Linked DNA regions of Callithrix jacchus. The main gene of each other region encodes a partner of the protein of the gene in region 2 in a complex. Links are inferred from orthologs where the notes say so. Each region holds a gene or a part of one and is shown on either strand. Other genes may lie near its edges.

What was found.
Region 1: the proteins of TIMP1 (region 2) and stromelysin-2 are in contact, whole or in part, in a crystal structure (PDB 3V96), measured with the Homo sapiens proteins. The link is inferred for Callithrix jacchus from reciprocal best matches to the Homo sapiens genes TIMP1 and MMP10. Residues at the interface, in NP_003245.1 of Homo sapiens: Cys24, Thr25, Cys26, Val27, Pro28, Asn37, Leu57, Tyr58, Pro87, Met89, Glu90, Ser91, Val92, Cys93, Arg98, Thr121, Cys122, Cys155, Leu156, Ser157, Ile158, Gln173, Leu174, Gly177, Ser178, Glu179, Lys180; in NP_002416.1 of Homo sapiens: Phe170, Tyr171, Gly177, His178, Ser179, Leu180, Ala181, His182, Ala183, Tyr184, Pro185, Tyr191, Asp205, Ala206, Ser207, Gly208, Val214, His217, Glu218, His221, Phe226, His227, Thr231, Tyr236, Pro237, Leu238, Tyr239, Asn240, Phe242, Thr243.
Region 3: the proteins of TIMP1 (region 2) and stromelysin-1 are in contact, whole or in part, in a crystal structure (PDB 1UEA), measured with the Homo sapiens proteins. The link is inferred for Callithrix jacchus from reciprocal best matches to the Homo sapiens genes TIMP1 and MMP3. Residues at the interface, in NP_003245.1 of Homo sapiens: Cys24, Thr25, Cys26, Val27, Pro28, Pro29, Val52, Thr56, Leu57, Tyr58, Pro87, Ala88, Met89, Glu90, Ser91, Val92, Cys93, Thr121, Cys122, Leu156, Ser157, Pro159, Gln173, Leu174, Gly177, Glu179; in NP_002413.1 of Homo sapiens: Phe100, Thr102, Phe103, Phe171, Tyr172, Gly178, Asn179, Val180, Leu181, Ala182, His183, Ala184, Tyr185, Ala186, Thr207, Thr208, Gly209, Thr210, Val215, His218, Glu219, His222, Phe227, His228, Tyr237, Pro238, Leu239, Tyr240, His241, Ser242.

What each region holds. Positions count from the first base shown.
Region 1 is NC_133511.1:2,810,000-2,813,651, reverse strand, and holds part of stromelysin-2, read left to right. Parts: intron 1-1,914; coding exon 1,915-2,074; intron 2,075-3,072; coding exon 3,073-3,176; intron 3,177-3,652. UniProt on the Homo sapiens protein: Can degrade fibronectin, gelatins of type I, III, IV, and V; weakly collagens III, IV, and V. Activates procollagenase.
Region 2 is NC_133524.1:48,547,412-48,551,544, reverse strand, and holds the start of TIMP1 (metalloproteinase inhibitor 1), read right to left. Parts: upstream 2,884-4,133; 5' UTR 2,845-2,883; intron 1,622-2,844; 5' UTR 1,614-1,621; coding exon 1,493-1,613; intron 200-1,492; coding exon 120-199; intron 1-119. UniProt on the Homo sapiens protein: Metalloproteinase inhibitor that functions by forming one to one complexes with target metalloproteinases, such as collagenases, and irreversibly inactivates them by binding to their catalytic zinc cofactor.
Region 3 is NC_133511.1:2,878,721-2,882,045, forward strand, and holds part of stromelysin-1, read right to left. Parts: coding exon 3,163-3,325; intron 2,987-3,162; coding exon 2,842-2,986; intron 969-2,841; coding exon 835-968; intron 449-834; coding exon 289-448; intron 1-288. UniProt on the Homo sapiens protein: Metalloproteinase with a rather broad substrate specificity that can degrade fibronectin, laminin, gelatins of type I, III, IV, and V; collagens III, IV, X, and IX, and cartilage proteoglycans.

The DNA.
Region 1 (3,652 bases), on a different chromosome or scaffold from region 2:
AAAAATCAATATAGTAAAAATGTCAATTTATCTATAGATACAAGACATTTTCATTTCAAATGCCGAAGGTTTTTTCATGTAACTTGACATATTAGTTTCACAATTTATACGGCAGAGCAAAGACCAAGAATAGCCAGGATACTCCTGGTGAACCCATCTTATTAGGTGAGGAAAAAAGCTCTATGTAATAAAGCTTTAAAAGGTAAGATGTGGTATCAGTGCAGGGAGCAATAAATTAACCAATAGAGCTATTCGGGTATGGCAGCTTCTTTATCAGATTTTTAAACTACTTTTTCCGTTTGTTTTACTGGCAATATGTTATTTGCATTTCTATTACTTCTTGAGTCAGTTTCATTAACATGTTTTTCTAAAAATGTGCCAGTTTTGCCTGTTTTCAAATCAATCAGCATGAAGTTTTTTGAAAATTATTTTGTTGTAATTTGAATTATTGCTGTAATTCCTAATATTGAATCCTTTTGCCTTTCTCTTTTGTTCTTCATCAATCTCACAATATGCATAAAAATTTTAGTGACCTTTTCAAAGGACTGACTTTTGGCTTTATTTATTCTCTATATTATATTTTGATTTCTGTTCATATCCTTATGTTGCCTTAATGTTTGCTTACTTTGAATTAACCCTATTATTATTTTTATAGCTTGTTTGATACTTACTTCATTAACTTGTAACCTTTTTCCTTTTCTAATATAAGCATTTATACCTACAAATAACAATTTCTTCTTTTTATCCAGCAAATTTTGATATGCAGTATTTTCATTTTATTCACTTTTAATTTTTCAATATCCCATTTTAATTTTTTCCCTGGGCTCATAGGTGATATTGGAATATTTTTAAATGTCAAGCTGTATGGAGATTTTTTAAATATTTATTTCTGACAATGTCACTTTTGTGAAGATTAAATGAATGTGAAATTGCAGCAGGAATTGTAAAGGATTGCATAACTCAAAAGTATTGTTATCCAGTAATTTATCCATATTTATTTACCACTTGCGGTGTCAGACACCACACTCATTAGTGGAGGTCACTGAAGAGGGTTTATGTTCTAGAAGGGGCAGCAGAGATGAAACCATAGGCAGCCTACGTATGACAAGTGCTAGGATAGAGAGAAGGAAAGGTGCCGTGGGAGCACCTGAGTCATACCCAGGGCTCAGCAAAGATCCCTCAGAGGAGGAGATGTTTAGGATGGGTCTTGAAGTTCTCTCTTGCTGTGCAGAGACGGGCTGGGTGTATAGAAAGTATAAAGGTCTTTAAGAAAGAAGAAATTGTTTTTACCACATAAGAGCATACCTGGAACTGCTCAGATGATACAAAGCAAGAGAGATGAACAACAGATGGACATTTTAGATTAGCGAATCTGGCAGTCGTGTGAACAAGAGATTCAGGCTCGGGATCGAGGAGAATGATGTCACAAAGTAAAGGGAGAGAGATGGATGGGATTTTATTCTAACTCGCTGGAATATGAATGAATCCTGATAATATTCAGAAGCACAGGTTGGAATTGGTGGCTATGATATCTAAAAGGAAGTGTCCAATAAGCAACTGATCTATTGGTATGGAACTTGAGAGAGAGAGAGAGAGGTCTAGGTGAGAAATTCAGGTTAAAAAGTCATCAGCAAATTATAAGAAATAATCAAAACTGGCCTATACATAAACTATAACTTACAGATACAAATATATAAGCCACAGAAAGGGCAGTTAATCAGAGTTATCTACTGATTTATTCATTCTTTCATTCACTCACTCATTTAGGGAATATTTGTTAAAGACTGGCTGTGAACTGAGCATTATTAGGTTGGAATTAAAAACAAGACATCCTCTTTACCACAAAAATGCTCTAGAATCATTTTTAAAATCAATGGCTTCATGTAAAATTTCTTGGGTTTATTTTTTCAACAGGAAATGAGCTCTGGGCCATCAGAGGAAATGAGGTTCAAGCAGGTTATCCAAGAGGCATCCACACCCTGGGTTTTCCTCCAGCCGTAAAGAAAATCGACGCAGCTGTTTCTGATAAGGAAAAGAAGAAAACGTACTTCTTCGTAGAGGAGAAATATTGGAGGTGAGATGCAAGAGAAAGGACTTTGTTCGAAGTCTGATTAAGAAAATTGGCCGGGCGCGGTGGCTCACGCCTGTAATCCCAGCACTTTGGGAGGCCGAGGTGGGTGGATCACGAGGTCAAGAGATCGAGACCATCCTGGTCAACATGGTGAAACCCCGTCTCTATTAAAAACACAAAAAATTAGCTGGGCATGGTGGCGCGTGCCTGTAATCCCAGCTACTCTGGAGGCTGAGGCGGGAGAATTGCCTGAACCCAGGGGGCGGAGGTTGCGGTGAGCCGAGATCGCGCCATTGCACTCCAGCCTGGGTAACAAGAGCGAAACTCTGTCTCAAAAAAAAAAAAAAGAAAAAGAAAATTATTTTAAGGATATCCCCCTACTCCCACCCTCTTTCTCTAACTTCAAAAGTTATGATTATGCAGAAGATAGCTTATTGTTGTTCTACTTCCCGGCTACGAATGGCCCTCAGAGTGCTGATCACTGAGCCGTTTACTCACACATCAAAAGCCACCAGGAAAGGCTAGCTGAGGTCCGGAGGCATTTGTGCCAGTCACCATGTGGCTGTCATAGGGCGCCCAGGTACGGCAAGCTTTGGAGACAAGGTCTACAGGGTCCTAGTGTGACTGAAAGCCAGAGGTTTATTTTTATCTAAATGATTTAATTAATTTCGCATATTATGTGAACACAGTCTTTATGTATTTGCGGTAGACACATAGAAATTTGGGTTCTGTGTGTCCAGGCTTAGAAAATTTACCTTAGACATATGAACTTCTGTAAAATGTCATATTCCTGTTTCTGGGAAAATGTTGTTTTATGTGTTAAACTTGTAAGTCCAGGGAAGTAACCTATTCTTGCAGCTCTATAAAGTGTTTAACACCTTTTTATACAACTTAAAAAGTTTGTCTATGACTCCACACTGGAAAATTAATATCACATTATACTATTGTGTGTAACGGTACTACTATACAACATCGAACTGTATTTCTTTCATCTTATTTAGATTTGATGAAAATAGCCAGTCCATGGAGCAAGGCTTCCCTAGACTAACAGCTGATGACTTTCCAGGTGTTAAGCCTAAGGTTGATGCTGTATTCCAGGCATTTGGTAAGAAGACCCTCATTTCATTGTCAACAGGGAAATCTCCAGGCATTTTTATCATTTCAAAATGAAGTACAGAATCAAAACGGTTTTTAAATCATTCAGTCTGATATCTTTTTTACTCCAAATTTCTGATAATCCTCACTTTCCAACTTATGCAAAGTAGATTAAAAATTTTTTTTTCCTGAATAACTTCCAAGTCTCTGTTTCATGGCTGCACATAAAATCAAAGGATACTCCTTCACACAGAAGCCATTATCTCTCAGGTCACTAGGTTTGTATAAAAATGCAATCCGTGTGAGCCAGGCTAATGGCTGGTTGTCATTCTATTCTATCCCATCCTGTTATCCCGCCCCAGGGGAGCCTTGTCAGGGCTTCTGTTGCAGTCTGCAATTGTCTACATTAGTCATTTGTAAATAAAATAGTTGTCCTCCCCTATGCTCAAAATAGGTAAAATGTAATTCCTGGTAATGGGGAAATAG
Region 2 (4,133 bases):
AAGTCATATAGCATCCCGAGATCACAGCCAACTTTCTCGCACCAACCAGTGGCCAGAAGCTTCTGTTTTGACCAGGAGGAAGAGGTTAGAAAATGCTGGGAAAGGGGCAGGGGGAGTACCTTGGTCATCTTGATCTCATAACGCTGGTATAAGGTGGTCTGGTTGACTTCTGGTGCCCCCACGAACTTGGCCTTGATGACTGCAGGAGAGGAGGGAAATATGAGTCAAATGGACTGCATGAGCCAAAAAAATAAGATCATCATCTCATAATACCAGCAAAGTGTGTACATAAAGAGGGTTTATTGGATGCCAGACAGCACGCTAAGTGATTTACACACATTTGTTCATTGTTTCGTCTGTATGTTGAATGTCTCTCTTTGCCAGGCACTGCTTAAGCCATTTTCATATATTCATTTGTTCATTTACTCCACAAATATTTCGGAGTGCCCACTGTGTCCCAGACATTGTTCTGGGTGTTAGGGACACAGCAGTGAACAAAACACAGAGATCCCTTCCTTTGTGGAGTTCACATTCTAGCCAGGAGGAGACAGGCTAAGAACAAACAAAAGAAGTATATGGGAATGTTAGAAGATAGTAACGATAATGGGGAATTACACACCTGGGTAAGGGGATGACAAAGATTCTTTGCTTGACCAAACTTTACTCAGGCTCCTGAACCTTCTCCTAGGCCCATCTGTGCACTTCCTTGTAAAATTTAATTTTAGCAAACAGCCCTGGGATTAGTTTAGCAAGAACCCCTGTCCTCCATATCTGATCCTCCTCAGTCTCTGGTCATCCTTCTATCTGATCATCCTCAACGTCTGATCATCCTTGCTACCTGATCAGGTTCTTCATCTTCCACCATCCCCCAGGTGATGTGTGATTCTTCTGGCCTGCCTTCAGCAAGAATCCTGTTAGGTCGGTTTTGCCAGAATCCATTACCCCTGATGTTTCCTTTCAGTGATTTCCACCCACAGACCCTCACACTGGTCCTTGGCTGTACATTCCCACTGGCCCATGCTATATTCAGTGTTGAGCCCAATCTCTCCCCTCTGACTGCAAGATCCCATGGCAGTGGTTCCTATATCCATCACCATAGTCCTGAATATGGTCTTCCTTACTGTGTGCTATAATGAGTATCACTGAATATTTTTCTCTTTAACAGGAGATCAGGAGTACTAAGGGGCAGGGGTTAAAATTTTAAACAGGATGGCCAGGGAAGGCTATCCTGAGAAGGTGACGTTTGAGGCAGCCACCCATGTGGATACCTGGGGGGAAAGTGTACCAGGCAGAGGGAGCAGCCAGCAAGAAGGTCCTGTGGTAGGCTTGGGCCCGGAGTACACAAGGAAGTGTGAGGATGCCAGTGTGGCTAAAGCAGAGGAAGTGCAGGGGCAAGTGGAATCGATCCAGAGGTAAGTGACATTGTGAGCCCCACCAGACTGAGAGGGGAAACCAAGGCAGAGTGTGTGGGCTGAGTGGGATGAGAACTCACCAAGGTCAGAATTGCAGAAGGCCGTCTGTGGGTGGGGTTGGACACAGGTGCAGGCCCTGCTGGGGGCTATCAGCCACAGCAACAACAGGATGCCGGAAGCCAGGGGTGCAAAGGGGGCCATAGTTGGTTCTGCGGGAAAGGGGGATGTCAGGCAGGCCCCAGGCCAGCTGATCTGCAGACCTGGGCAGGTCATCCACCCCATCCCGCTCTGGGGCAACCTATGGAGGGGATTAGGGGACTGGATTTGGTCTTGAAGTGTTGGGGAATTTGGGGATTTTCAGGGGATTGGGGAGCCCAGAGGAATTTAGGATTTAGAGAGTTGGGAGAATTTAAGTTATTGAGGGACTGAGTGAGTTGCGGGATTATGGAGTTGTGGCACTTGGGGGAGGAGGGGGCTCAGGAATTTTGAGGAATGAGGGGATTGGGGAAGTCTGGAGGTTGAGGAGTTTGGGAGTGAGGAATTTGGGATTGGGGGGATGAATGAGTTTCGAGGAGGTGGAGAGCTTAGGGGTTGTGTATATTAAGAGATATGGGGGCTGGGGGATTTAGGGAGGTTAAGAATTTGGAGGAGGTTAGGGGTTTAGGGAGCTGGGGGAGTTTGGAGGTTGAAGGGGCTGGGGGAATTTGGGGGCTTAAAGCAATGGGGATACTTGAGGAATTTGAGGGCAAAAGAAGTTTGGGGCTGGGCGCAGTGGCTCACGCCTGTAATCCCAGCACTTTGGGAGGCCGAGGTGGGCAAATCATGAGGTTAGGAGATCGAGACCATCCTGGCTAACACGGTGAAATCCGGTCTCTACTAAAAATACAAAAAATCAGCCGGGCATGGTGGCAGGCGCCCGTAGTCCCAGCTACTCAGGAGACTGAGGCAGGAGAATCGCTTGAACCCAGGAGGTGGAGGAGGTTGCAGTGAGCCGAGATTCCGCCGCTGCACTCCAGCCTGAGTGACAGAGTGAGACTCCGTGTTTAAAAAAAAAAAATGGTTGGGAGTTTGGGAGCTGGGGGAGTTTAGGGAGCTGCAGGGATTTGCGATGGGGATTTAGGGGGCGATGAAGTTACGGGATGAAGGAGTTTGCGGCGGAGGTGGGAGATTTGGAAAGCATTTGTGATATTCAGGGGGGGGTCACGGGAGTTGGGGATGAATGTCAGGTGTTCTAGGGAGTTCGGAGCCTCGGGGCTGGGAAAGCGGTTTCAGCCTCGGACCCTCTTCCCCCTTGACTAGCCCAGGGTCCTGGTACCGGCAGGCCAAGCTGAGCAGACAGGCATTTGGCACTGGAGTGCACAGGCCTGGTGGCCAGCACCCAAGCTGCAAGCCAGCCCCAGTCCCTGCTGGGCCACCCTGGGGCCTTGCTTACCTCTGGTGTCTCTCTGGGTGCTGGATCTGCGGCGATGGCGGCAGGGCCTGAGCGCTAGAGGATAAATGTCCACGCTAGGGGCGGGGGTGGCAGCGGGTGCGGAAACCACAGGCCTCCAGGCTTCCTGGATGCATTACTCATCCACCCACCATCAGTGCAGAAGCCAAGGGGCGGGCCGGAGAAAGGAGATACACCCTCCTCCTCTCCCACCCTCCTCCTCTCCCTCCCCCTGGGCCTTGCCCAGGCCAGCCCCCTCCCCCATCTCCACGTCAGTCACTATTCCTTCCAAGCCGCCCCAGTGGAGAGCTTAGAGACAGCATTCACCCCAGCCTAGTCCCCTAGAGTCTCCAGAATCTATCCAATCACCCACATCCCCCAAGCTCCCTGTGGCTCAAACCCAAATTAGTTCAGTCCTTCAACATTTATTGTGCATCTACTGTGTGCCAAGCACACAAAAATCCCTTGTTTGGTATGTCTGACATGCTGGTGAGGGGTGGCAGAGAGGAAACAAGTTAAGTAGCAGGAATGGAGGGAGATAAAGCAGGTGAATGGGGAGGAATACAAAGTGGGGAAACTAAGGCACGGAGCAGTTAAGTGACTTATCCAGGATCAAAGAGTCAATACATGGCAGAACTGAGACTGGAACTCAGGTGGCCTAGAGCCAAAGCCAGGGTCTCAAAAAACACTGACAAATAGCTGGCATTTATATATCACCGACTGTATACTAAGCACTCAGTATAGTTTATCTCACTCAAAGATCACAACAAATCTCTGAGGTGGGTACCAGTTACTATTCCCATTTTACAGATGAGGAAATATGGGACGTAGAGGGACTGAAGACCTTTCCCAAGATCACAGGGTGTGGCCGGGATTCAAACTGAGGCTACCTGGTGCCAGGATTGTAACTCAGGAGTGGCACCATCCTAGCAGGCAGGGAATGGTGCGAGTGAATGAATAAGCATTGGGAAGGGGGTGGCTGTGAATGATGGTGGAAGAAGCAAGTGAGTGAGTCAGTAGAAAACCAATCCCCACCCCATGCTGCCCTGTGCCTTCCCCACGGACCTATGCCCTAGGTTGGGGTTAGGGTGGGGCAATCCTTGCCCACCAGCTTTTTGACAATGCAGAAATCTTCCCTGGGGTTCTGATGACCATCCTTAATTCGAGGAGGATAGATCCATCATAATAATGGTATTGATGATGGCAACCGCTTATTGAGCACTTTCTGTGTACTATGTGCTGACGTGTTTGTATAAATTATCTCATTCACTCACCATACTCCCTTGCTAATT
Region 3 (3,325 bases), on a different chromosome or scaffold from region 2:
GACTTGAAGGATGGGCAGGATTTGAATGGGTTGAGGAGAGAAAAGGGGGCTCCAGGCAGGTGGGGTGACATCACCAAGGGAAGCACCAGCAACTGCACTTGGGACTCAGAGCAGGAGAGCTTATAGGGCTTCTGTGTTTTAAAGTAAGAACTTTCCCACAGTTGTCTGAAGTCCCATCCTTCCTACTGAGAGAGAAGCAGGCCTAAGGTTGGGGTGGGGGATTTCCTTAGAAAAAAAAATAATTTCCCTAATTAGGCTTCATACAAAGTCATTTCTCTTGCATCTCACCTCCAGTATTTGTCCTCTACAAAGAAGTAGGTTTTCTTCTTTTCCTTATCAGAAATGGCTGCATCAATTTTCCTTACTGTTGGAGGGAAACCCAGGGTGTGGATGCCTCTTGGGTATCCAGCTTGAACCTCATTTCCTCTGATGGCCCAGAACTGATTTCCTGTTAAATATCAATAATTCAGGGTCATATCGAATTATAACAGTTAAGCCTTTTAGCTTTAGAAATACGCTATAGCATCTTTGATTATCATGGTGAAGAAGTAGCCCAAATTTTAGATTTAGTCACCAGCTCATAGCAGGCTTTTAGCAAAAATTTGCAGACTGAATGAATGAACCGAGGTCAAATGAGAACATTTACAACTCTGGGTAGTTGATCTTCCTTTCTTGTTTTTATAAAATGTAAGTACAATAGTATCAGCCCTGGTTATCACTTCATTACCTGTGACTGCTGTACTAACCAGAACCCGATGCAGTAGAGAAAAGTAAAGTGTTGTTCAGTTTCTTGCTTATTCTGGCAAGTTAAAGAAATGACGATAGAATAATTACCTTTAAAAATGAAAACAAGATCCTTGCTGGTAACTTCATATGCGGCATCCAGGCCCGAAGGAAGAGACGGCCAAAACGACGAGATCAAATGCAATTCAGGTTCAAGCTTCCTGAGGGATTTGCGCCAAAAGTGTCTAAAACATATGTAAAAAGGAATGTAAATGGAAATACCGCCTTTTACCTTTAGAATATTTTCCTCACCGTCTTGCCTCACCCGACTTCCCCCATTTTCTCATCTTCTAGGCTGGATGACAGATAGAAATCAGGTATATTGCCATTAGAAAATTTCTTTCCTTTTTCTTTAGAAGACTGCAGTGAGTCTCCTGTCATAGGTTCCAGAGAAATGTCTTCTATGAAAGAAAGGTTGTTCTTCATGCAAATGAATTATCCCAGGATGAGCTTAACTACCTGCAATGTGTGCCAAACAGTATATATGCTGTTCAAAAAGCTAGGCAGTGTGTATGTATGCACACGTGCTGTATACCCTCTTCAATAAGGGGCAGTGTGTATGTATGCATACGTGCTGTATACCCTCTTCAATAAGGGGCAGTGTGTATGTATGCATACGTGCTGTATACCCTCTTCAATAAGGGGCAGTGTGTATGTATGCATACGTGCTGTATACCCTCTTCAATAAGCTATGCAGTGTGCATGTATGCATACGTGCTGTATACCCTCTTCAATAAGCTATGCAGTGTGCATGTATGCACACGTGCTGTATACCCTCTTCAATAAGCTATGCAGTGTGCATGTATGCACACGTGCTGTATACCCTCTTCAATAAGGGGCAGTGTGTATGTATGCATACGTGCTGTATACCCTCTTCAATAAGGGGCAGTGTGTATGTATGCATACGTGCTGTATACCCTCTTCAATAAGCTACGCAGTGTGTATGTATGCACACGTGCTGTATACCCTCTTCTATAAGGGGCAGTGTGTATGTATGCGTACGTGCTGTATACCCTCTTCAATAAGCTAGGCAGTGTGCATGTATGCATACGTGCTGTATACCCTCTTCTATAAGGGGCAGTGTGTATGTATGAGTACGTGCTGTATACCCTCTTCAATAAGCTAGGCAGTGTGCATGTATGCACACGTGCTGTATACCCTCTTCTATAAGGGGCAGTGTGTATGTATGAGTACGTGCTGTATACCCTCTTCAATAAGCTAGGCAGTGTGCATGTATGCACACGTGCTGTATACCCTCTTCAATAGGTGGCAGTGTGTATGTATGCGTACGTGCTGTATACCCTCTTCAATAAGCTAGGCAATGTGCATGTATGCATGCGTGCTGTATACCCTCTTCAATAAGGGGCAGTGTGTATGTATGCATACGTGCTGTATACCCTCTTCAATAGGTGGCAGTGTGTATATGTATGCATGCGTGCTGTATACCCTCTTCAAAAGGGGGCAGTGTGTATGTATGCGTACGTGCTGTATACCCTCTTCAATAAGCTAGGCAATGTGCATGTATGCACACGTGCTGTATACCCTCTTCAATAGGTGGCAGTGTGTATGTATGCGTACGTGCTGTATAAATGCGTTCTTATATATGCAGAGAATGGTTCTGGAGGGATGCACAAAAAGTCTTGACTGTGGGTGAATGCAGGGAGAACCAGGAACTAAAATTGTTAGTTTTCTTCTGGTTCGTGCTGTTTGAATGTTTGTCATGTGCGTATTGACTCATCAGTAAGTAAATTAATTGATTAAATGTAATGTTGATCCTCATGTCATTTTTGAAGGAAGTAAAAACAAAATTATTATTCTAAATATCTACTCCTGCCTTTTGAAAAGCAACCGTGGCTTAAAGCATTTGGAAATAGCAATTAGGAGACAAGAACCAGATCATCCTGAGCCTTCAAAAATGAACCTGACAGTTTCAGGAAAACGTGGGAAAAGGCAGTACCGTATCTAAATGATTTCAAGCTCAGACGTTTCTGTTTGTTTTCCTTTCCAAGCTTTGTAGAGTAAAATGATAGAGAGGAAAATGTGAGTTTTCAGTCTGACCTGTCTTTAAAGAATAGGATTTCTCCTCTCAGAGTGCTGATGGCATCGAAGGACAAAGCAGGATCGCATGTGGCTGGTGCCTCAGTTTCTGGAGGGACAGTCTCCTTGGGCACCGGAGGTTTCTCAGGGGAACCAGGGTGAGGTCCTAAGGGGAACATCAGGAGAAATGTGATACGTTTCAATATATGCCAATTTGTATGCTTTCCAGACATTCTCAAAGTGCTTTACGCTAAACCATCAATACTTTCTGTAGCATTTGAAAGCTTTTCTAAAGACCATCATTGCAAAGCTACAATGGCTAATTTTCCCAGCGTCACTTACCGTAGAGGGACTGAATGCCGTTCACATCATCTTGAGACAGGTGGAACCGAGTCAGGTCTGTGAGCGGGTTGTAGACCGGGTACATCAAAGCTTCAGTGTTGTCTGAGTGAAAGAGACCCAGGGTGTGGCCAAGTTCATGAGCAGCAACAAGGAATAAATTGGT